Macaca fascicularis: one gene and its partners. The protein of the gene in region 2 interacts with the protein of the main gene of each other region in a pairwise test. Links are inferred from orthologs where the notes say so. Each region holds a gene or a part of one and is shown on either strand. Other genes may lie near its edges. The genes, in order: NUTM1, P4HA3, melanoma-associated antigen C2 and NDN.

Region 1 (6,084 bases), on a different chromosome or scaffold from region 2:
GGAGTCTTTCTGTGTCACCCAGGCTGGAGTGCAGTGGCACGATCTTAGCTCACTGCAACCTCTGCCTCCCAGGTTCAAGTGATTCTCCTGCCTCAGCCCCTCAAGTAGCTGGGATTACAGACGTGAACCACCACATCCGGCTAATGTTTGTATTTTTAGTAGATACAGGGTTTATGCCATGTTGGCCAGGCTGGTCTCAAAAACCTGACCTCAGGTGATCCACCTGCTTCGGCCTCCTAAAGTGTTGGGATTACGGGCGTGAGCCACTGCACCCGGCCCCTCTAAGTGCTTCTCTAAGAAAATTCCTGGCAGACCTCTCCAGCCTCTCCGTAGGCTGTTTACTAAGATACAGAATTGGGTTGACACCTGCTCTGCAGGGAAAACAGCCCACAGCGGCCTCCGTGCAGTAAGGGAACTAGTCCACGGTAAGCTCCAGCCCCTCTCGAGGCATCCATAAGGCCTTTGAGAAGGAGGCACTTTCAAAAATATGACTGGCTCATTCCCTCCTCCTTTTCCTTTTCCTGTTGCTTCTTATAAATCTCTCTTAACCTAAAACAACAGAAGAAAGATTCAATCTATAAGCAGGAGCATGAGCCCATGAAGCTCAGACATCCTGTAACACATTCCACCCAGCATTCCACGTACATCCCCTATGCTCACCTATTCCAAACCAGAGACTCAAACCACCTGAACCCTGCTTCTCCCAGCTGCTCTGTGGCCTCTGCCACCACGCACAGAAGTACTGTTCCCAGGAGAGGATATGTGGATTGGATGTTTGGTTCCCAGAAATTTTGTTGTATAACAGCCAGGAATAATTAGAGAGGATTAGATAAGGACAAGGAAATGAGTGAAGGGAGGGCGGTGTGGGGAGAGAGGTTTCCAGATCTTTAAGTAACTGCTGGACGTGTTTGGCGATGCAGACTATCTGTGGCCCTTCTGCTTGGAGCTCCTAACATCAGAAATTTAGGGCTCACTAGGAACGAGGCACTGAGCTAGGTGCTAAGGACAGGACAATGAAGTCCTTCATTGTCACTGGTTCCAGCTGGGGAGGGGCTATGTGGACTCTAGTCAAAGAGACCAAGGATAAGTATACAAATGTGTACTTAATCAGAACCTATGTCTCCTAGGACTTTTTTTTTTTCCCCGAGACAGAGTCTCTGTCACCGAGGCTGGAGTGCAGTGGCGCGATTTCAGCTCACTGCAACCTCTGCTGCCTCCTGGGTTCAAGCGATTCTCCTGCCTCAGCCTCCCTAGTAGCTGGGATTACAGGCGGGCGCCAACACACCCAGCTAATTTTTGTATTTTTAGTAGAGATGGGGTTTCACCATGTTGGCCAGGCTGGTCTTGAACTCCTGACCTCAAGTGATCTACCTCCCTCGGCTTCCCAAAGTGCTGAGATTACAGGCGCTTGAGGTCAGGAGTTAGACACCAGCCTGGCCAACTTGGTGAAACCCCGTCTCTCTAAAAATACAAAAATTAGCTGGGTGTGGTGGTGGGCGCCTGTATCCCAGCTGCTCAGGAAGCTGAGGAAAGAGAATTGCTTGAACTCGGGAGGCAGACTTTGCAGTGAGCTAGCATCACACCACTGCACTCCAGCGTAAGCGACACAGTGAGACTCCATCTCAAACAAAAAAACAAAACAGGAAAACAACAGCAGAATATCACCTGCTTAAATCTCCTCCCCCTTACAAAAAATATTACACTGTCAAACTAACAACACCCAACTTCTGCATTCTGACCATGGCACACAAGCAAACTCAGATTCAAACTCATTTCAGCCACAGAGCAAAGGGCTGAGGGTATGTCGCTGAGTACAGAACACAATGAAAGGGGCCTGAAGGCCTGAGATCCATAAAAGGAAGAAAAACTAAGAGCATCTCGGTGAAGCCCCAGATCTCATCCTGGCTGTAATGACCCACCTCTCTGGCCCGGATGAATCCGGAAAAACTGCTTCCTGAACTCAAAGCGAAGCCACCTCTAGGGCTGGAAGGAGCCGTGAGGCTCTGAGCAGAGGCAGGATTTTTCTTTTTTTTTTTTTTTTGAGACCGAGTTTCGCTCTTGTTGCCTAGGCTAGAGTGCAATGACACAATCTTGGCTCACCACAACCTCTGCCTCTCAGGTTCACGGGATTCTCCTGCCTCAGCCTCCCGAGTAGCTGAGATTACAGGCATGCGCCACCATGCCCGGCTTTTTTTTTTTTTTTTTTTTTTTTTTTTTGTAGTTTTAGTAGAGATGGGGTTTCTCCATGTTGGTCAGGCTGGTCTTGAACTCCTGACCTCAGGTGATCCGCCCGCCTCGGCCTCCCAAAGTGCTGGGATTACAGGCATGAGCCACCGTGCCCGGCCAGAGTAGAGGCAGTTTATAATACATTCCAGCCTAGTTTTCAGGAAGGCATTTCTCTGCAACGGATAACTACAGATTATGTTTTCCCGCTAAAGTCCTTCCCACCTTACCCTCCCATCCTCCATCCTCCACATCCCATTCCCCTCATAGGCTCAAGCATGGCAAAATCCTAGAATAGGCTCCAGTTGCCTGAAAGAGACAGATGAATGAACGTGGGCATTCCCCCTTGAAACCTCTCGGTGCCAGTCCTAAGACACATACCTCTGATCCCCTCTCCCACCACAAGAACACACGCTGACGTGCCCCCTGTTCAAGAGAATCAAGTTGCTAATTGCCATCCATTCTCTATACTCAGCATGTGTCCTCGGAGACACCTTGATCTGCCCTTAAGGAGGTCCTCTTCCTTCCCCGGCCCCTAGTCTTAATGGTACAGTCTCCTTCTCTAGCCTCCCCAAGTGGGATACCTTTGATGGGGTGTAGCACCTCGCATTCCTTTAGGTCAGCCCAAAGAGCTTGTCCCAAAGGATTTGAGCAGGTACCAGAAATCCTCCTCACCACCTAAAGACTTACCTCCATCTGAAGCCATCCTCTCAGCTTTGGGCACTAACCGTGGCTGTCTGGAAGCCTCCAGAATGAGGCAGTCAGGTCCAGGACCCAGAGTAACCTGGCTCCAAGTAGGTGCACAGGGATCCAAGGAAGGGAAGGTAAAGATCAGATCAAACAGAACTAGAATATGGAACTCAAGGCAGTCTGCTGTGGGGGAGGGGAGAGGGGAAAGTGGGGTGAGGGTGGGGAGAGATATTCCATGAAGGGTTCTAGTAACTACGCAAAAACCAGGAATTCCCTTCAAACTACAGTTTGGCAACACAACTGATGTTCGCCCTTTAGGGCTATTTGTAAATTCTTTCTCAGATTCCCAACACATTACAGTTTTGAGTTTGGTTCCCTATACTTCAATTCTTCACCAACATATCTCATTTTGTGTCCTTCCATCCCAGCCAGTTCTGTAACTGACTTCCTATTAACAGCAGGTCGATGGTAGACCCCTGACTTAATCCAATGATGGCTATATTTTCTGAACTAAATTCAGACCACATTGGTCTGTATACTTAAGGATCAAGGGAACTAAAGTCTAAAATTAGAATTGTCAGATGATCCAAGGTGCTCAATTGCTGTGTGCACATCATTTCCTTGGAAAGCTGTCCAATCTACTAGCATAGGCTCTGTACTCCACAGAAGCCTTACCCTTTGCTGAAAAGCCTCACTAAATAAAAAAGCTGCCATGCAGTTTAAAACCTCAAGAGTAGAAAGTCCTTCGTTTTGTTAAATTATTTTGGTTTAAATTTTAAAAATAAAATGTATCTGCTAAGGTTCCTGGTGACTATTTCAGGCCAGTAATTCCCAGACCATCCTCTACAGCCACAGCTTCATCCAAACGTGGATTTCCCCCAAAAGACCTTCCCTGGGGTTCATGGCGTCTTTCTTGCTTTCTCTGAGATATCTTTTCTCTTTTCTAAAGACTCTTTCATTAATAAGACCTGAAGGCTGAAATCATCCTTTTCCTTTCTAACAAAATTAACTACTTAGACATACTTTTTTTTTTTTTTTGAGACAGAGTCTTGCTTTGTCGCCCAGGTTGGAGTGCAGTGGCATGATCTCTGCTCACTGCAAGCTCTGCCTCCCGGGTTCACACCATTCTCCTGCCTCAGCCTCCTGAGTAGCTGGGACTACAGGCGCCCGCCACCACACCCGGCTAATTTTTCTATTTTTAGTAGAGACGGGATTTCACTGTGTTAGCCAGGATGGTCTCGATCTCCTGACCTCATGATCCACCCACCTCGGCCTCCCAAAGTGCTGGGATTAGAGGTATGAGCCACCGCGCCCGGCCTTTAAAAAATTTTTAACAGGTAATACATTAGCAAGGTTCAAAAATCAAACTACAAAATAAAATACATAGCAATAAGTCTGCCTCCCACCCCTTACCCCTTTCTCCTGTAACTAGGTTCTCTATCTCAGAGGAAACCAGTATCATCTGTTTCTTGTGAATAATTGCAGAGATTTTTTATTCAACTACAAGTAAATACAAACCATATCTTTTTTTTTTTTTTTTGGGACAGGGTCTCTTGCTCTGTCACCCAAGCTGGAGACCAGTGGCGTGATCTCAGCTCACTGCAACCTCCGCCTCCCGGGTTCAAGCGATTCTCCTGCCTCAGCCTCCCGAGTAGCTGGGACTACAGGTGACCGCCAGCACGTCCCGCTAATTTTTGTATTTTTATTAGTAAAGACGGGGTTTCACCATATTGGCCAGGCTGGTCTTGAACTCCTGACCTTGTGATCCACCTGTCTCGGCCTCTCAAAGTGCTGGGATTACAGGCCTGAGCTACTGCACCCGGTCACAAACCATATTCTTTTTTTCAGACGGAGTGCCACTCTGTCACCCAGGCTGGTGTGCAGTGGCGCTATCTCAGCTCGCTGCAACCTCTGCCTTCCCGGCTCAAATGACTCTCCTGCCTCAGCCTCTGAAGTGGCTGGGACTACAGGCGCCCACCACCACACTCAGCTAATTTTTTCTGTATTTTTAGTAGAGACGGGGTTTCGCCAGATTGGCCAGGCTGGTCTCGAACTCTTGACCTTGTGATCCGCCCGCCTCAGCTTCCCAAAGTGTTGAGATTACAGGCGTGAGCCAACGCGCCCGGCCAAACCATATTCTAAAAAAAAAAAAACCTTGCAGGTTTTTCTGGTTACACAACATATATGCCAACGCTTTTGTCATTATAAATAAGGCGTAATGATGATCTTTGTAATTATATTTTGGTTCTCATTTTCATTTCTTTAAACGAATAAGGAGAACTTCTATATTCTTTAAAAAATTGTAAAATCTCCTAGAAGGTGCACTTTATTACGCTATTATTAGCTACTCACCACTGTAAGAAAGAGCGCTGAATTTGCGGTAGGGACCTAAGTTTAAATCTTGGTTCGACCGCTGAAACATACTTCGTTTCATAAAATAACTTTACGCTATTTTCGCTTTACGGAATATTGATACTCAACATGCATTCTTTACCGCCAACGTTTTGAAATGGAGCAGGGAAACTGGATGTAAAAGAGGGGAGGGAAGAAAACCTCTTCCTTCTTCCCTAGGGCAAAGGGGCTCTGAATCCTGGAGCCCTTGTTTCTTCAGGCACTGGAAACTCACTGCTCCTGAAATGGGTATGTATCTTGAGATAAAGACAAGCTTCTATACGTCAATGTTCTATCCACATCCATCCCTACCCCCCTCTAGCGCCGTGTACCTAGCACACAGTAGGCACACTCCACGTGTTTTAGCCTGCAAAGTTGCAAGTGTGGCCCCCCAAGCCAAGCCCTGCCCTCGTGCGCCCCCTTCTGGCTAGCTGAAAATAAGGCAAAAATTGACTACATTTTCCGGCGTGCCAGGAGAGAGACTTCCGGCTATGCAGGAAGGAAATTGACGAACACGTGACGCGGTCGGGCGGACCCCTGCAGACGGAGCAGCGGAGCGAATTGGGACCTCTGGCTTACGAGCAGTCATGTTTCTCCAGTATTACCTCAACGAGGAGGGAGATCGGGTCTATACGCTGAAGGTGAGGAGAGAAAACAGGTTGTAAATAGGCATGGCGAGAAATGTAGATGGGAGGAATGGGTGAGGCCATACACGGAGTTACCTAGCTGGGTGGAGGGAACCAGAAAGTCCAGAACCGAGGTGGGGGAGAACCGGGAGCG
Region 2 (5,973 bases):
GAACTGCCAAAATTCTTGTTTTAAAAAGCAAACATAAAGGCTGGGTGCGGTAGCTCATGCTTGCAATCCCAACACTTTGGGAGTACGAGGAGGGAGGATCAATCACTTCAGGCCAGGAGTTCAAGACCAGTCTGGGCAAGAGAGCAAGACCCCGTCTCTACCAAACCAAACCAAACCAAACAAAAACAAAAACAAAAGCAAAAAAAGCCCTAACCAGGCATGGTGCGCATGGTGGTGCGCACCCGTAGTCCTAATTACCTGGTAGGCTCAGGCAGGAGGATCACTTGAGCCACAGGTTTGAGGTTACAGCGAGCTATGATAGAGCCGCTGCACTCTAGCCTGGGTGACAGAGCAAGACCCTGTCTCTTAAAAAGCAAACATTTCACTGGGTTTTAGAGCAGTCACTAGAGAACAGAATGATAGAATGCCAGTCTTCAAAATATCAAACTAAACTACAAAATTAAATGTTCGTAAGTCACCTGAGAAAATAATTGGGAACTTTTCTGATTTGTTTTTTATCTAGGCTGTCACAATCCTAGTTAATCCTCAGAGCCAAAAGTGGGGCCTAGTTTCACTAGTTGGTCTTAAAATAAAATAAAATAAAATAAAATAAAATAATAAGCATAAAGGCTTAGCATTTGTCCAGCAATTGTTACATGCCAGGCATAATGATAAATACTTTTACATGGTACTCTTAATCCTTCAACAACCCTATAGTGATAGGTACTGTGTTTATCATCATTTTAAAGATTAGGAAACTAAAGCTCAAAGAGGTAAAGTAACTTGTCCCAGATCAGAGCCAATGATTCAAACAGAGGTCTGTTAAACTCCTGAATTTACCGTTAACCACTATGTACTGTGGCCACTAGTAAAACCTCAATTAGTTAGGGGCTTGGTCTATGTCTTGGTATAACAGATAAAAGAAGCGGTAGGGATAACATAGCATAATAGGAAAAAAGTTGGATAAACAGTCAAAACAACTGTATCCTAGTCCTGGATTTGCTACCTGTTAGATTTATTAATACAATCTTGAATAAGCAACTAGACTTTAGTTTTCTTGGGTTTTAACTGATTTCTCAACAGTTAACAGTGTAATACAAATCTATTTCAAAGCACCGTGTGTGAGAGAGAATCAAATGAGATACGGTTTGTATGAGACCTCCTGCTGCGACAAAGTTGTGGCAATGATAATGGTGGAAAGACAGTGAAAGAGACCAGCATGGCGGAGTGGGGTCGGCCAGCTGCTTTGGCCAAAATGCTCTGAGTGCTCTCTTCTGAGAATGTAACCTGAAAGACCAGCACAGGGATTCTGACCCCCCACTCCCATCTCCATCTGAGCTACCCAAAGAAAGAGATTACTGGTATGAAAACAAGCATGGGTAGCAGGGAGCATGCTGGGCTCTGAAATCAAGCAGAAAAAAGTCTTTCCTATTTCCATCAATAAGCTTGGACTCCAATGACTCTGGGCTATGAACAAAAAGAAGACATTTGACTCAGTCAGCATGGACCCATAGAATACTAGACAACAATGCTATACCAAAAAGTGACAATAGTTATTGAAATGATCTTCATTTATTGTTAAAATTAATACATACCTATATTGTACATTGTCACACTATTTCAAGCTGTTTATATGCAAGCCACATACTTAAGGACAAGCACCAAATTAGCTCATTCAGTCACTATTAACAAGATCTCTCACAAATACTTTCCACCCACAAAATGCTTTTCTTCTACATAGCTCTCTCTCACAGTCATGGGGTCTCAAAGTTTTGCACAGGGTGACAATGGGTTTGGGGGTCACACTGGACCTCAGAGTCACTCCCCATTCCACATACCTTCTTCTCATGTCACCCCAGAATCAGTATTACTATCACATACACTCACGCAAAGTTTTAAAAGCAGTGCATTGTGCCGTCTTAGCTCAATGAGAAGGAGGTCACGTGATAAAGGTACAATATTAATATATCCAAATAGTGACGTGGTCATAACCACTCTGTCAGTGTTGTAGGCTTCTTCATGTCCCAAGCAGAGAAGGCGCAGCACATATTCATACAGATGGTATCATATACAATCATTTATCTTTCATTTTTCTCAGCTGGACACTGCCAAAGTCGATACATGACTATGGTGCCTCAGCATCCCAAGTCTAACAATCTTTTATGCCACAGTGTGTAGCACTAGAGTTTGTTGATTGTATATCAAAACAATATTAGCTGAGCATCCACTGCCGTGTGCTATACTCAATATCTTCTGCATCAAGTATGTTTTTTCACAGTGCTTTTTTGATATCAAATATGTTGACACACATATAACATCTCAGTTATCATTTATTTAGTATTTAGAGAGCTTCTACATGTGTAAGGAGAAGGAAGAACTGAAGACGTAGAGGGCAGTGGACATCTCTGATTCACAGTCATGGTGCTACAGACCCGAACTCCTTGAGGGCAGAGTTGGCTCTTCTTCACCATTTTATCCCCACTACCTGGAACACTGCCTGGCTCTTAGTAGGCACTCAAAAATATGTGTTCTATGAATTAATGAACTGAAGCATTATTCATATAGCGACCTGTACAGTTACTCAGCATCACTCACATGCAGAGTATGATATCCACAGCGTCGTGCCCATCCAGTGCCAATGACATGTAAATCTCACATATGGTGGAAGACTGTCACCTGACTCCTAACACTAAACTTCAGCTCACTAGGTCATGCGGTGTTTCATGATCGCCCCTTGAAAAGTCAATACTTGCATAGCTAAAGCGTCACCATATTTTCTCCATCTCACTCTCACAGTGTCTCTGTCACAGCACCGTCCACTGAGTCTGTGTCAGTGTGACACAGGGCCTGGGGATCATACAGCTTCGCACAGCACATTGTGAGGTCCTTGAGTCACCCCACCCCGCTCTTCCACAGTGCCACCGTGTGTGTTATGGAGTCTGCAGTCCCACACAGTGTGACTCAACCCTCGCCAACACCTCATGCCACGGAGTGTCGGGGTCCCACACACTGTGACAATGGGTCTGGGGGGTCACACTGGCCCTCAGAGCCACTCCCCATCCCACGCCACAATGTCTCAGTCGCACGATGCGACAGTGGGTCTGGGGTCCCACGCAGCATGACAATGAGCCTGGGGTCACACTCAACCTGAGTCACCCCACGTTGCTGCACAGTGTCTCCCACTGAGGCCCCTCGGTCGCTCCCACTCGCCGTGCCCTCACCTAGTCAGGTCCCGCAGCCGCGCCTCCTCCCCGCGCAGGTACCGCCTCAGCAGCCCCAGCAGCCGGCGTTCGGGCCCCAGGGCGCGCGCCACGCTGGTCAGTGCAGAGAACGTGTCGCCCCGCGCAGCAGCCCTTTCTGGGTCTCCTGTCCCGAGCGCCAGCACTGCCAGCAGCGCCGCCAGCCGCGCCCCTGGACCCATCGCCAGCGCTAGCGCACTTCTCAGACAGTCCTGGCCGCGCGGAGCCAGCTGCTCCTGCCCTGGCCTGCCCCGCCCCTTTCCCCGCCCCCTCCCGGCTCAGGCCCCGCCCCCTGGCCCCGGTCAGTCGCCTCCGCAGCCCAGTCTCGCCCCACGCCCCCTGCCTCCTTCCTTGTTTCGACGCGCCTCACCTCGCTCTCTAGCCCTCAGCTCCTCGGAATGCGTGGGGGCTTCCTGCAACATCAGTGTCAGCCGCCCTCCACTAAATCGCGACCCTGTGAAGGTGTTTCCACTGTGCCCATCACACTGGGAGAAATTGAGGCGGGGGCGAGGTGAGCGATGAATTCACAGGTCTAAGGCTGTGACCATCCCCAAATATTGTTAACACCATGCTGACAACATCCCTAAAATATCCGCCCCTCTGTACCATGGAGTGGGAATACACAAACACCACTGGATCCCCACAGAAGAGCCAATTTTGCGTGTGTGAATAGCTGCGCAGGCAAAGAGCGGCAAGAGGGCAGCAGGCAGGAAAACCCTCACAGAGGGCGTGACATCTGAGCCATCTGAAGGATGAGTAGGACTCTGTGAGGATGTGAGTGTATGACAAATCTAGGACTTACAGAACCTGAAACTCTGGGGTCCTGATGTCACTGCTTTACACAATATACCTAGAGTCACTTAGGCAAACAAAAATATTGCTATTATTATAGCCTACTAAGCTACTTACTCTATTTCCCCCCTCTTAATCATTTCCCAGGCAATGTTCATTCATTCAACAAATATTTATTAGCACCTATGTTAATGTGCTGACTACACAGAGAAATAGCAGATCCAATCCTGGACTCAGAGGAGGAGACAGATATGTAAACAAGTAATCACAGTAAAGTGCTGTCAGAGTAACTGAGGGTTGTGCAATGTGCAATGGCAACACTGAAGAAGGAACCCTCATCTAGCGGGTGGAGAGGGCTTCAGAGAGGAGATAATGTGTGCTGGTTCAAAAGCATGAAAAAAATTGGAAGTTGACAGGCAAGGGAGGAGTGGGCTTTCCTGGCAGAAGGTACCTGTGCGTGACAAGGTTTGGAGGTGGAAAACAGTTTGAGTTCCAGAAATGACGAGAAGTTCCTTGTGCTTGAAACTATCAGATTGCGAAGGGCCTTTGCATGCCATACTAAGAAATTTAGGTGCTTTTCCTCTATGAAAATCCAGTGGAAGTTTTTAAGGTGGTAATAATTGTAGTAACAATGGCAATAGTAAACACAGCAGTTAATACTTACTGAGTGTTTCCTGTGTGGCAGGGGCCATCCAGAGTATTTTACATATATTAACTCATTTAATTGCTGTCCAGAGTATTTTATATGTATTAACTCATTTAATTCTCATGCTGACCTTACAGCCTAGGTAGTAGTAGTATTCTTATAGTATTATTAGCCCCACTTTACCAATGAGAAGACTGAGTTGTAGGGACAATCAATAACCTACTCAATGTTAATCACTTGTGGACCACATTTGAGGTGTGCTGTAAACCAGCTGTCTAGGAAAAAAATTAAAATTCTGATTTGTGGCATTTGCCAATTTCTGTGGTGTCAATTCTCCCATAGTGGCTGATTTCAACATGAGAATATGTCATCACTGACTGCGGTTGGATAAAGATGCTAACAATCAATTCTTGCGAGCTGGGGTGAGCCAGCTCCAGCACACCACTGCTTGTGTAGACATGGAGATGTACCACGCAGATCCCCCTTCAAACAATTGTTGCACAGCTGCAGGGAATGTGATCAGAAGAGTCTCCAGCGGTCAGCTGCTTTAGGGTCTATCCTATAGCAGAGAGCAGCCTTGCCTAGGGAAATTTCCTTCCTGGGGCAACCCTAATCCAGCAACGGAGCAAGGTGAGGGAATCAAGGCCTAGCCATTTTGGTCCATCGTGAGAAAACTCTTACAGGCAATACTAGCTCCAGCATGCCTGCCACCTTGATTAAGGCTTCATCAAGCCTCTTTGACTTCTTCCTCTCCCCTTTCTTGCTTCCTTTCCCTTTCATAGATGTTGATCTCTAATAAACATCTTGCACCTCAAACTCCATCTGAGCCTCTGTTTCTAGAGAACCCAATCTGTAACATCAACTCAATCAACATACATAGTAAGTGGTAGAGAAGGGACTTGAACCCAGGTCATGTGGATCCTGATTCCATATTCTTAATTACTACCAGAGGCAGATTTACCCAGAAGGTTTTGAAGATTAAGCTTCAAGGCTCCTACCTTGCACAAACTCTTTCCAACTGAGTAGCCTTCCCATAGAAGCTGTTCTGACCAGAGATTAGGGACTGTGGTAGGCAGAATCACGCCCTCCCTCCAAAGATGTGCATGTGTTGATTCCCAAAACCCATGACTGTGTTACCTTACATGGCACAAGAGACTTTACAGATGTGATTAGGTTAAGGATCTTGACATTGGAGGATTATGCTAGTTTATCTTGGTAGTCCCAATGCAATCATGAGGGTCCTTAAAAGTCATAGAAAGAAATGTGACAATGGAAGCAAAGTCAGAAAGATTTAAA
Region 3 (5,194 bases), on a different chromosome or scaffold from region 2:
AGAGATGATATTAACTTCACTCACAGCAGTAAAGTAGAAAAACTTGGAATGGAATTTAGAAGTTGAAGGAACAAATGTTGCTGTCTGGACAGGAGAAGGAAGGAGTATAGGCTCTTTTAGAAGTAATACCTTGAGAAAGCCATAGGGGCCTTCCCACCCCATTTCAGAGGGCAGTGGAGGCCTGCCTTAGGGCCAGGAGGCCTATCCCACTGTGGGTGGATGTGATTCTACTTCTCTTCCACCTTGCAGGTCTCAGGGATGGGAGGGGCTTATTCGCAGGTGAAAGACTCAGATGCACAGAGACAGGGAGTCCAGGCCATTTCAGGAGTCCAGGCACAGCCTCTCAGGAGGGCAGGAAGGGAACACCCATGACCGGTAGTGCCCTCTGTCCTGTCCCTGTGCCTGCTGCCAACTCTGGAGGACCCCATCAGGGTCCCCAGATGTACAATTTTCTTACTTCTATTTTGGGAGTCAGCAGAAGGGGAGGCTGTCTCTGAGGAGGGCAGCTTCAGTTAAGCAGAGAGAGAAGTCCCAGAACTGGCCAGAAAACAAGAAGAGATGTGGAAGGACGGTGATCTCCCAACACGGAGGGGAGGTGCAGGCTGCACCAAGTCGCTCCCTGCTGACACCCCTGGAAAAAGGAGGGTGGGATGTCAAGGACTGGGGAGGTGGGAGTGAAAAGGTCCACAAGGTTTAGGGAGTGAGCAGGAAGGGTTGGAGGGCAGCTGGGATGTGGGAAGGAAGGGATGGAAAAGAAGCGGAGAGGTGGGGAGTGGTTCCTTCTCAGAGAGGAGGCCCCGCCCCACGTTGACGCTGCCGTCAGCCCTGGACCACTACGGCCGGGTTCCCGGATGTGCTTTCCAGACGGCCATCTTGGGAATCTAAAGGATCGGAGGCATTTTGCAAGGAGATTCGAATCAAGTCAGCTGCGGGGAGTCTTAGACCTGGCCAGTCCACAAGGTGAGGGCCCTGAGGAAGAACTGAGGGACCTCCCACCATAGAGAGATGAAATCCCGGCCTGCACTGCCGCTGCAGTGGGACTGGTAGGTCCCAGACAGGAAAATGCCCACAGAAGAAGGGAGGAGGTGCCAGCCCTCTAGGGAATAAATAGGAAGACATTGAGGAGGACTGGGGGAACCCCCATCTCAGAGGACAGATTCCCACAGATTCCCACCCTGCTCCTCGAGAATCAGCCCTCGTAGAACTCCCCTGCCAGCTCAGGCTGAGTGGCAGCCATCTCATTTCTGGGTGAGGGGTGGAGGGGAGGCAGAGGCCTTGTTCTGGGGGTCCCGTGGCAAGTCAGCACGGGGAGCTGCCTCTGGTTGGCAGAGGGAAGATTCCCAGGCCCTGCTGGCGATAAGACAGAAGACAGGAGTCACATGTGCATCAGAACGGACGTGAGGCCACCCAGACCACCTCCATGGTAGAGTCCTGGGAGGTGGCTGCCACTGCACTACCTCCCACTGCTCTCAGGGATGTGGAGGTTGCTAGGAGGTTTTGCCTTAGGCCAGCAGAGTGGTGGGGGCTTGACCCTCTCTGAGAAGCCGTGAGGTTTCCAATTAAATTCTGAGGGGGCCATGCAGTCCAGAACTATGGGGCTCTGGGATTCTGGCCAGCCCCAGCTGTCAGCCCTGGGAGGCCCAAGACTCTACTTGTAGTCTTTAACCTGAGGGGCTCCGTCACTTCCTCTTGCAGGTGCTCCAGGAACCAGGTGGTGACAAACTGGGTGTGAGGCACACATCCTAAAGTCAGCACAGCAGAGGAGACCCAGGCAGTGCCAGGAGTCAAGGTGAGTGCACACCCTGACTGTGTACCAAGGGCCGTACCCCCAGAAACAGAGGAGACCCCACAGCACCCGGCCGTACCCACCTACTGTTATTCCTGGGGTCTCAGGCTCTGCCTGCCAGCTGTGCCCTGAGGTGTGTTCCCACATCCTCCTACAGGTTGCCAGCAGACAAACTCCCTAGGAAGACAGGAGACCTGTGAGGCCCTAGAGCACCACCTTAAGAGAAGAAGAGCTCTAAGTTGGCCTTTGTCAGAGCCATCATGGGTGAGTTTCTCAGCTGAGGCCATTCACACTGTCACTCTCTTCCACAGGCCTGTTGGATCTCATCATCCATATCCCTGTTGATACCTTTACCTGCTGCGCCTGAAGAAGTCGTTATGCCTCCCATTCCGGGCGTTCCATTCCACAACGTTGACGACGACTCTCCGGCCTCAGTTGAGTCAGAGGACTGGGTAGATGCACAGGATCCCACAGATGAGGAAGAGGAGGAAGCCTCCTCCATTTCCTCTTCCACTTTCTACTTAGTATTTTCCCCCTCTTCCTTCTCCTCATCCTCTTCTCTGATTCTTGGTGGTCCTGAGGAGGAGGTGCCGTCTGATGTGATACCAAGTCTTCCCGAGAGCACTCCCAGTAGTCCTCCACAGAGTCCTCCACAGGGTCCTTCCCAGAGTCCTCTGAGCTCCTGTTGCTCCTCTTTTTCATGGAGCTCATTCAGTGAAGAGTCCAGCAGCCAAAAAGAGGAGGATACAAGTACCTGTCAGGGCCTGCCAGACAGTGAGTCCTCTTTCACACATACACTAGATGAAAAGGTGGCCGAGTTAGTGGCGTTCCTGCTCCTCAGGTACAAAGCAGAGGAGCCTGTAACAGAGGCAGAGATGCTGATGATTGTCATCAAGTACAAAGACTACTTTCCTGTGATACTCAAGAGAGCCCGTGAGTTCATGGAGCTCCTTTTTGGCCTTGCCCTGATAGAAGTGGGCCCTGACCACTTTTCTGTGTTTGCAAACACAGTAGACCTCACTGATGAGGGTAGTGATGATGAGGGCATGCCGGAGAACAGCCTCCTGATTATTATTCTGAGTGTGATCTTCATAAAGGGCAGCTTTGCCTCTGAGGAGGTCATCTGGGAAGTGCTGAATGCAATAGGGGTGTATGCTGGGAGGGAGCACTTCATCTATGGGGAGCCCAGGGAGCTCCTCACTAAAGTTTGGGTGCAGGGGCAATACCTGGAGTGTCGGGAGGTGCCAAACAGTTCTCCTCCATATTATGAATTCCTGTGGGGTCCGAGAGCCCATTCAGAAAGCATCAAGAGTAAAGTACTAGAGTTTTTAGCCAAGCTGAACAACACTGTCCCTAGTTCCTTTCCATCCTGGTACAAGGATGCTTTGAAAGATGTGGAAGAGAGAGCCCAGGCCATGACTGATACCACAGATGATGCCACTGTCATGGCCACTGAAAGCCTCAGTGTCATGTCCAGCAACCTCCCCTTTTCTGAGTGAAGTCTAGGATAGTTTCTGCGCTCTGTGTTTGAACAAGGCAGTTTAGGTTCTAGGTAGTGGAGGGCCAGGTGGGGCTCGAGGAACATAATGTTCTTTGCATTTCTGTCCCATATGGGCGATGTGGAGATTTACCTGTTTTTCAGTACTTTTTGAATGCTTTTCCTTTGAATAGCAGGTAGTTAGCTTCAGAGCATTAATTTATGAATATTGGTCACACATGTATTGCTGTTTATCTGGTTTAAGAGTAACAGTTTGATATTTTGTTTAAAAAAAATGGAAATACCTTCTCCCTTATTTTGTGATCAGTAACAGGGTAGTGTGGTATTGTAATAGGCTTTTTGTTTGTTTGTTTGTTTGTTTGTTTGTTTTTTACAATACGCAATAACTCAGCAGTTAAATAGTGGGACAACGTGAAGGATGGTCAATATTTTCATTTCCTTGTCCTGCTTATTCTTTTGTTCTTGAAAATTAAAGATATATACCTGGCTTTGCTTAGCTTGTTGAAGAAAGTAGCAGAAATTAAATCTTAATAAAAGAAAGCCCCACTGACTCCTTTATTTGCTGAGCATTCTTTCAGTATTTGCTTGTGGAAGTCACTGTTAGTAGTGGGGATGCTAATGAAAGCATGACTTATCTCTATCCATAAAACAGTAGAGTCTAGGAGCAGAAGCCATATCAAGAAGGTGGTAAGATGTTCTCTACAATCTAAAGAACAAGTTAAAAAGGGGCTGGGGAGGTGAGACTCCACATGCAAGCCTTCAAGTGTAAAGGTCTTGAGCTAAGGCAGCTTGGGGCTTTGGAAAACTGCAGTTGCTTTTCTGAGGGCTGGTAGTTACAAAGCTGGGTGGTGGCTGGGACCAGACTCTCGGAGGGTGAGGGAAGAGCCTGGAATGGGGAATTGCTCTGAGCAGTTGCTTCTGGGTGGAGGATGAAGCAGAGAGGAGTCTCCACATGGGGAAGTAATGGAAGGTGTCCTGTGGCTCTGTAACTGGTGAGTTTGAACACAGTGCAAGAACCAGGTGATTGATATCCATCATCTGCAAGGGTTTCCTGAGAAATGTAGTGATAATCCCTTGAAGTGGTGCCCAGAAGCCTCTAGGCTGACTCACTTACCTGGGAGAGCCAGAGCCTACTCCATGGAAAGGCCATTTAATTAGGTGATTTTGAATCTAATGTGGGCAACTCCAAGCAAGGGCTAGATTTTTAGTGGAGGATACATAAAACTAGTGCTTTGGATGGATGAGCATTGGGGAAGGCGAAAAGGAGTTGGTCCTTGACTCAAATTCCAGGATCATTGAGTCGCATTCCACTTGGGGAATTCTCTACTTACCCAAATTATACAATATATCATTTTGGAAAGAGAATGGACTGAGTTTCATTTATGAAGCCGGATTTTTGGTTGAGTTGGTACTCCATGACATATTCAGCTACATATGCTCTGAGATGTTTTAGATCAGAAAACAAGAGTGAAATTTTTCATAAAAGACAGTGGTAGCCTTGGGGTTATAATTACATCGGTAACTGCCATTTGTTAAAATTCCAATCTATGCTTGGCACTGTGCCAGGTGTTTTACTCACATTATAAACATCCAGCAATTCTACAAGACAGGGCTTAGGAAACCCCTTTTACAGATGAAGAACCTGAGGCGCATAGTCCTTGATAAATTCAGTAAGATCACATGGTTACAAAGTGACAGGGCTGGCACTTGAGCCTTGCTCTGAATTCATCTTGACTCATGCTGTCCCTCTCTTCCCAGCCTGAGGAAGGCCTTTGCCTTTTAAGCTACTTCTCTGCACACTTGCTATAATCTCTCAGATGACATCAAGATGAACCCTGTGGCCAAAGTATTCAGGTAGGCTGGGAGAAGAATGGTGACAATGAGAATAAATACAATTTGGGGATCATGGT
Region 4 (5,322 bases), on a different chromosome or scaffold from region 2:
GTGTTATGTGACACGTGTCCTCTTCATTATTAGTCTTCCACAGAAAAGTTTCTGGCTTTGGCCAAATGGTCTTTCCCACTCTTTTGTAGTTTAAAGGACTTCTGTTCTTGTTAAAGCCCCTTTTCTCCCCCTTACCCCTTGCAGGACTAAAAATTCACAACGAGATTTTCCTTCAGGCATTGCCCCTAAAGCCCACTCGCAGCCCATCCCATCCTCTGAGGATTACCCAGTGGCTCACCGCAACTCGAGGGCTGCGAGGCCCGAGACGTCCTGAGGGCAACCCACCTCCCTCTCTTAGGTGTCTTGTGTGTTTGTCAGAGAAAGCACCTTCACCTCCAACCCTCAGGAAAGATTGTTTCCAATCCCAGCTTCACTGCTCAACAGGAATATCACTTCATTAGGTTAATTAATCTCTCCAAAAGTAAGTTTCTTAATTTGCAGAATCAGAATGATATTGCTTTCTCCAAAATATCCTAAGAATTAGAAAAATAAAATTCCTAGCCTTTTTGTATGTGTGGCCCATGAACCCATGTGAGTGTGGGCTCCCACATGAAATTTCAATATAAAGTTGAAAATAAATAACCTAAAAACCACAGGGTGTAGGGGAGTTGAAGGCAGGTGGGGACAAATGTGGACTCTGGATTCATTGTGAGTTCTAGTCCTAGCGCCTTCTCTTATTAACCTGTATGAGCTATGGAAAGTCCATTACCTACATTATTCCTGTGTTTCCTCCATGGTGCAGAGGCAGTTCTTGCCTGCCTGACAGGCCTGTTGTGAGGATTAGATAAAAGGAGAAAAATACACGTCAGGGCTCATGTACAATGTCTCACTCTTTAAGTGCCCACAAAGCATCTATTAATTTTGATAAAATGTAGAAACTTAAGGAAATTATTTTTGGTTTTTATTCCCATAGGATGTGATTATGGACAATCTTACTGTTTTGTTTTTTATGCTTTTCTATATTTGTGCATGTTTTTGAAATAAACATGAGTTAAAGACAAAACCACAAACTTCACAAATTTAGGAGTAATCATGAGTAGCGATTTTTCCCACCCCATTAGGGGAAACAGTTATATCTGTGTATACTGTAAAACAGAGAATTGTCTCATTCCCAACCATACTGCTTTGTTAAAATGATAACGTACACTTCCAGAAATGATTGTATCACAAGAATCTTTAATGTTTACTTTAAAGTTGACTCACGGTGGGGTTGTATATGTGTTTAGTAAAGTGTGCCAAGTGCTCTCACATTGAGACCAGTCCAGTTCAAATTAGTTTACGCCACGAGGATGTTTTCAGTCCCCAGCAAGGTCATGAGGGCCTTGACATTTCTTGGTTAGGCCGGCTTTGCTGGTGAGTTTTTCCAAACTCTGCAGGAGCAGTCTACCCCAACACACATCTCAGTCCCATGTAAATTAATAAGATGGAAACGTTCTCAATGTACTTCATCAGTTTAGCACGTCTCTGATACAAAAATCCAAGAAAGGTACCACAAAAGCGAAAGCACCAACCAAGCTTACATATAAACAAACATGCATACATCCTAAATACTACACAATAGTACCCAAATGAATACAACATTGCATTAAAGGTATAAAAGCACTGTACTGGAAACGTAAAAGTTACACGTGAATACTGCACTGTAAATCCTGAACACTCTAATGACCCACCCCCACCCTTCCACAGCCCTGGTGAGGATCAGAAAGCATTCATCTGCCTCCAGACTTGGCTAGTCCTCGGAGACACTGCTGCGAGGGCAGTGGGCAGCGGGATTAGCCTCCCGCAGAGCTCTGGCCTCCTCTAGAGCCTCTCTGTATCGGGAGGGCCAGGCCTGGGGGTCTTTCTTAAAGACCCTGGCCAGGAACTCCATGATTTGCAGCTTGGTGATTTCGCGGCTGGCCCGGGAGCCCCAGAAGAACTCGTACTCGGGCGGCTCCACGTACGGGACGCGCTGGTACTTCAGGTAATTCTGCTGGACGAACTCCTCAGTGATGAGCTTCCGCACGTCCCCGAAGGTGGAGTGCTTCTTCCAGGGCCGCAGCCCCAGGATGCGGAGCACGTTCCAGACCGCGCTCTCTCTGGCGCCGCGGCCCTTCACGTAGATGAGGCTCAGGATCATGAGGAGGAGACCTGTCATGGGCATGCGGTTGCTCAGCGCCACCCTGTCCAGCTCCTCGGGCTCCAGCGCTTTGACCAGCGCAAACTCCATGGTGTGCAGGCTGGTTAGCCTCAGGTGCAGCCCGAACACCCGGGCGAGGATGAGGCTGGTGCGCCGGAGGATGCTCCTGCACCACTTCTTGTAGCTGCCGATGACATCTTTCACCATGTCTGGAAACCAGATGATCATCTTCTTCTGGTCCTTGACCAGCACGTACCACATGAGCTCGTGCGCCTTCTGCACCAGCTGCGCCGGGGCTGGCGGGGCCGGGCCGGGCTGGGCCGCGCTCGGGGCCTGGTGGGCGCGGCCCTCCTCCGCGGCCTGCTGCAGGGCCTTCGGGTCGTCCTCGTCGCTCGGGGCCTGGGGAGGCTGCGCGGCCTGCGGGGCGGCCGTCGGGCCTAAAGGAGGGCTCTGCGGCTCTGCCAGGGTCTCGGACGGAGGAACCCCCTCCGGAACCCCAGGGCTGCTGTGCACCTCGGAGCTGGGGGCCTCGGCTGCAAAGTTAGGGTCGCTTAGATCCTTACTTTGTTCTGACATATCTGCGCCGTCTGGCAAGGGCAGGGCCTCTGCGTCCAGGAGCTCTTCAAGCCTGCGCTCCCTCCGCGGATTCCTGGAGAGGAAGTGCGCGTTGCTGTGCGCGGCGCCTTCCGCAGCGGCGGGCAGGGCGGGGCGGCGGCGGGACGCGGCACTGCGCCTGCGCGACTGCGGCCTTGGCCAGCGGCTGGGGGCGGGCGGGGCAGCGCGGAGCCCCGACGGGGAGGGTCCCTGGCTAAGCTTCACCTGCGGAGAGAGCGATCCCGGGGTTTCCCGTTTGGGCTGAGGGGATCTAGGGCAGGAGAAGAGTGCGATGGATGCGTACTGGAGAAGGGGCCAGTTTAGGAGAAAGATGATAACTTAAGTTTTTGGGATGTTGGGGTCAAGTTTCTTGGGAAACGCTTACCTGATATATCCAGAATTAAGTTAAATATGAGCGTCCCAGAGAAAGGTCTGGGCGGCTGTGTAAACTTGAGCTTTATGCGAACGAGTGAGAGGAACAGTCGGGCTTGTCCAAGAAAATGTGTAAAGTGTATGTCTGAGGTTGGAATCCTGAGAAATTCCAATAAAAAATGATTGACTCCCTCCCTACCAAATCAGAGGGGTTGTAAGAAAAGGAGAAATGCAGCGTGTCCTTAACGTAATTTCCTGTCAACCCATGTGAACTATGAACCTTTTAAGTAGGCAGCGGACTTAGAGCATCATTAATGCTTTAGTGGGCATAAATTTGGGTTTTACATTTCCTTTGGGTCACTTTGATTCCATTTTATTTTTTTCCATACTTAGTCCATAGCAGAAGGATTGCTATATCTTTTAGCACAAACTTGTATGATAATGTCTTTTTCCCTCTGCCCAGCACCCTTATTCTCCGATTCACCTTCTCCCAGGACCCTCTCTGAAGCTACTGAGTCCTCCACGTTGGAAGCCACACCCAAGTCCTTCCTGAGATTTAAAAAAAAAAACAACTAGGTCTCATAGGTAATATCTGGTAGTGTCTCTGAGATGACCCAAGGGTAGCAGGGGCAACATGGGTAACCCTGTTTTCCAAGTATAGAAGACAGATTCCCACTGGGCAAAGACAAAACTCGCTCCTACAGGCTCTCCATGAAAAAAGGGTCATTGGTGGAGCCTCTGAAACCAAGGGCCTTGATGCTGCTTCAGCATCCTTGGTCTGGGCTGATGTGGTCCTTCAGCGCTTCCAGGGTTTCTTCTCATCAGTAGCTTCTTAAATATGTTGAGTCTAATTATTGCCACTCGAAGCCAAAAGCACATTTAAAAATTGTCTTAACATGTCTAGAGTCCTCGCTGTGAGTATATATCTTTTCCCACTTGTCACTTTATTTTTCCTCAAGCAGGTTGATGTTGAAGGGTTTTCTGTGCTCTCTCTCTTTGGGTTTGCATGCACATAACACTTTTGGCAGAGCCATTCCCACACCAGTCCTTCCAACAGGCTCTTTAGCTTCCCACTTCACCAGGGTAATTCCTAGATATCAGTCTTAGTTGGAATTATTTCAACACTTTTCTCCTTCTCCTCTTCCTCCTCCACCTCGTCCTTCTTCTCTCCGTCTCCTTCTCCTTCTCCTTCCTCTATTTATGGATATTTACCACTTTCTTGGGAGCATCTTACAGAAATATGCTAATTCATTGTTTTGTAATCCCAGCACTTTGGGAGGCCGACACGGGCCGATCACAAGGTCAGGAGATCGAGACCATCCTGGCAAACACGGTGAAACCCCGTCTCTACTAAATAGTACAAAAAAACTAGCTGGGCGAGGTGGCGGGTGCCTGTAGTCCTAGCTACTCGGGAGGCTGAGGCAGGAGAATGGCATAAACCCGGGAGGCGGAGCTTGCAGTGAGCTGAGATCCGGCCACTGCACTCCAGCCTGGGCGACAGAGTGAGACTCCATCTCAAAAAAAAAAAAAAAAAAAAAAAGAATGTCTCTTGAACAGACTTATTGCCCCCATGCTTCTTAAATATAATCCTCATTTATTGCATTTAAATCTCCATCAATATTCTTCTTTATTTTATTTGGGTATGTATTATTTTCTAACTATTTAAATAAAATATTTAGGCCAGGTGCGGTGGCTCACGCCTGTAATCCCAGGACTTTGGGAAAGCAAGGCGGGCAGATCGCCTGAAGTCAGGAGGTCAAGACCAGCCTGGACAACATGGCAAAACCCCGTCTCTACTAAAAATACAAAAATTACCCGGGTGTGATGACAGATGCCCTTAATCCCAGCTACTTGGGAGGCTGAGGCAGGAGACTCACTTGAACCTGGGAGGTGGAGTTTGCAGTCAGCTGAGAGCATGCCACTGCACTCCAGCCGGGGCAACAGAGCAAGACTGTCTCAAAAATTAAATACATAAAGAAAAAAATATTTAGTTCGTTTGACATTTTTTTAATAATAAAAGTGTTTGAACCTACTATTTAAATCTCAACTTAGCTTTGGCCGTAGGCTATGGTTTTTAACATTGTGATCTCATTCAAACTACATTCTCACATTTCACCCTCCGAGATGTAATGGATTCTTGAAACTAAAGTGCAAGCTTTAGGGCATGACAACAATAAAAGGTGGCTCTGCTGAAGTGAGTGTCAGTGCTTTGGCCAGAGAGCTGCTTGGATTTCAGT

The links.
Region 1: the proteins of P4HA3 (region 2) and NUTM1 interact in binary tests that used the Homo sapiens proteins (3 or more experiments, as listed by UniProt). The two-hybrid records come from large-scale screens. The link is inferred for Macaca fascicularis from reciprocal best matches to the Homo sapiens genes P4HA3 and NUTM1.
Region 3: the proteins of P4HA3 (region 2) and melanoma-associated antigen C2 interact in binary tests that used the Homo sapiens proteins (3 or more experiments, as listed by UniProt). The two-hybrid records come from large-scale screens. The link is inferred for Macaca fascicularis from reciprocal best matches to the Homo sapiens genes P4HA3 and MAGEC2.
Region 4: the proteins of P4HA3 (region 2) and NDN interact in a two-hybrid assay, tested with the Homo sapiens proteins (2 studies listed by BioGRID). The link is inferred for Macaca fascicularis from reciprocal best matches to the Homo sapiens genes P4HA3 and NDN.

The regions. Positions count from the first base shown.
Region 1 is NC_088381.1:10,630,362-10,636,445, reverse strand, and holds the start of NUTM1 (NUT family member 1), read right to left. Parts: upstream 3,319-6,084; 5' UTR 3,269-3,318; coding exon 2,914-3,268; intron 1-2,913. Other genes in the region: NOP10 (H/ACA ribonucleoprotein complex subunit 3), read left to right, coding at 5,892-5,945. UniProt on the Homo sapiens protein: Plays a role in the regulation of proliferation. Regulates TERT expression by modulating SP1 binding to TERT promoter binding sites.
Region 2 is NC_088388.1:73,182,019-73,187,991, forward strand, and holds the start of P4HA3 (prolyl 4-hydroxylase subunit alpha-3), read right to left. Parts: upstream 3,444-5,973; 5' UTR 3,422-3,443; coding exon 3,222-3,421; intron 1-3,221. UniProt on the Homo sapiens protein: Catalyzes the post-translational formation of 4-hydroxyproline in -Xaa-Pro-Gly- sequences in collagens and other proteins.
Region 3 is NC_088395.1:148,297,196-148,302,389, reverse strand, and holds melanoma-associated antigen C2, read left to right. Parts: upstream 1-2,110; 5' UTR 2,111-2,163; coding exon 2,164-3,285; 3' UTR 3,286-3,642; downstream 3,643-5,194. UniProt on the Homo sapiens protein: Proposed to enhance ubiquitin ligase activity of RING-type zinc finger-containing E3 ubiquitin-protein ligases.
Region 4 is NC_088381.1:5,295,235-5,300,556, reverse strand, and holds NDN (necdin), read right to left. Parts: upstream 2,784-5,322; 5' UTR 2,696-2,783; coding exon 1,730-2,695; 3' UTR 1,157-1,729; downstream 1-1,156. UniProt on the Homo sapiens protein: Growth suppressor that facilitates the entry of the cell into cell cycle arrest.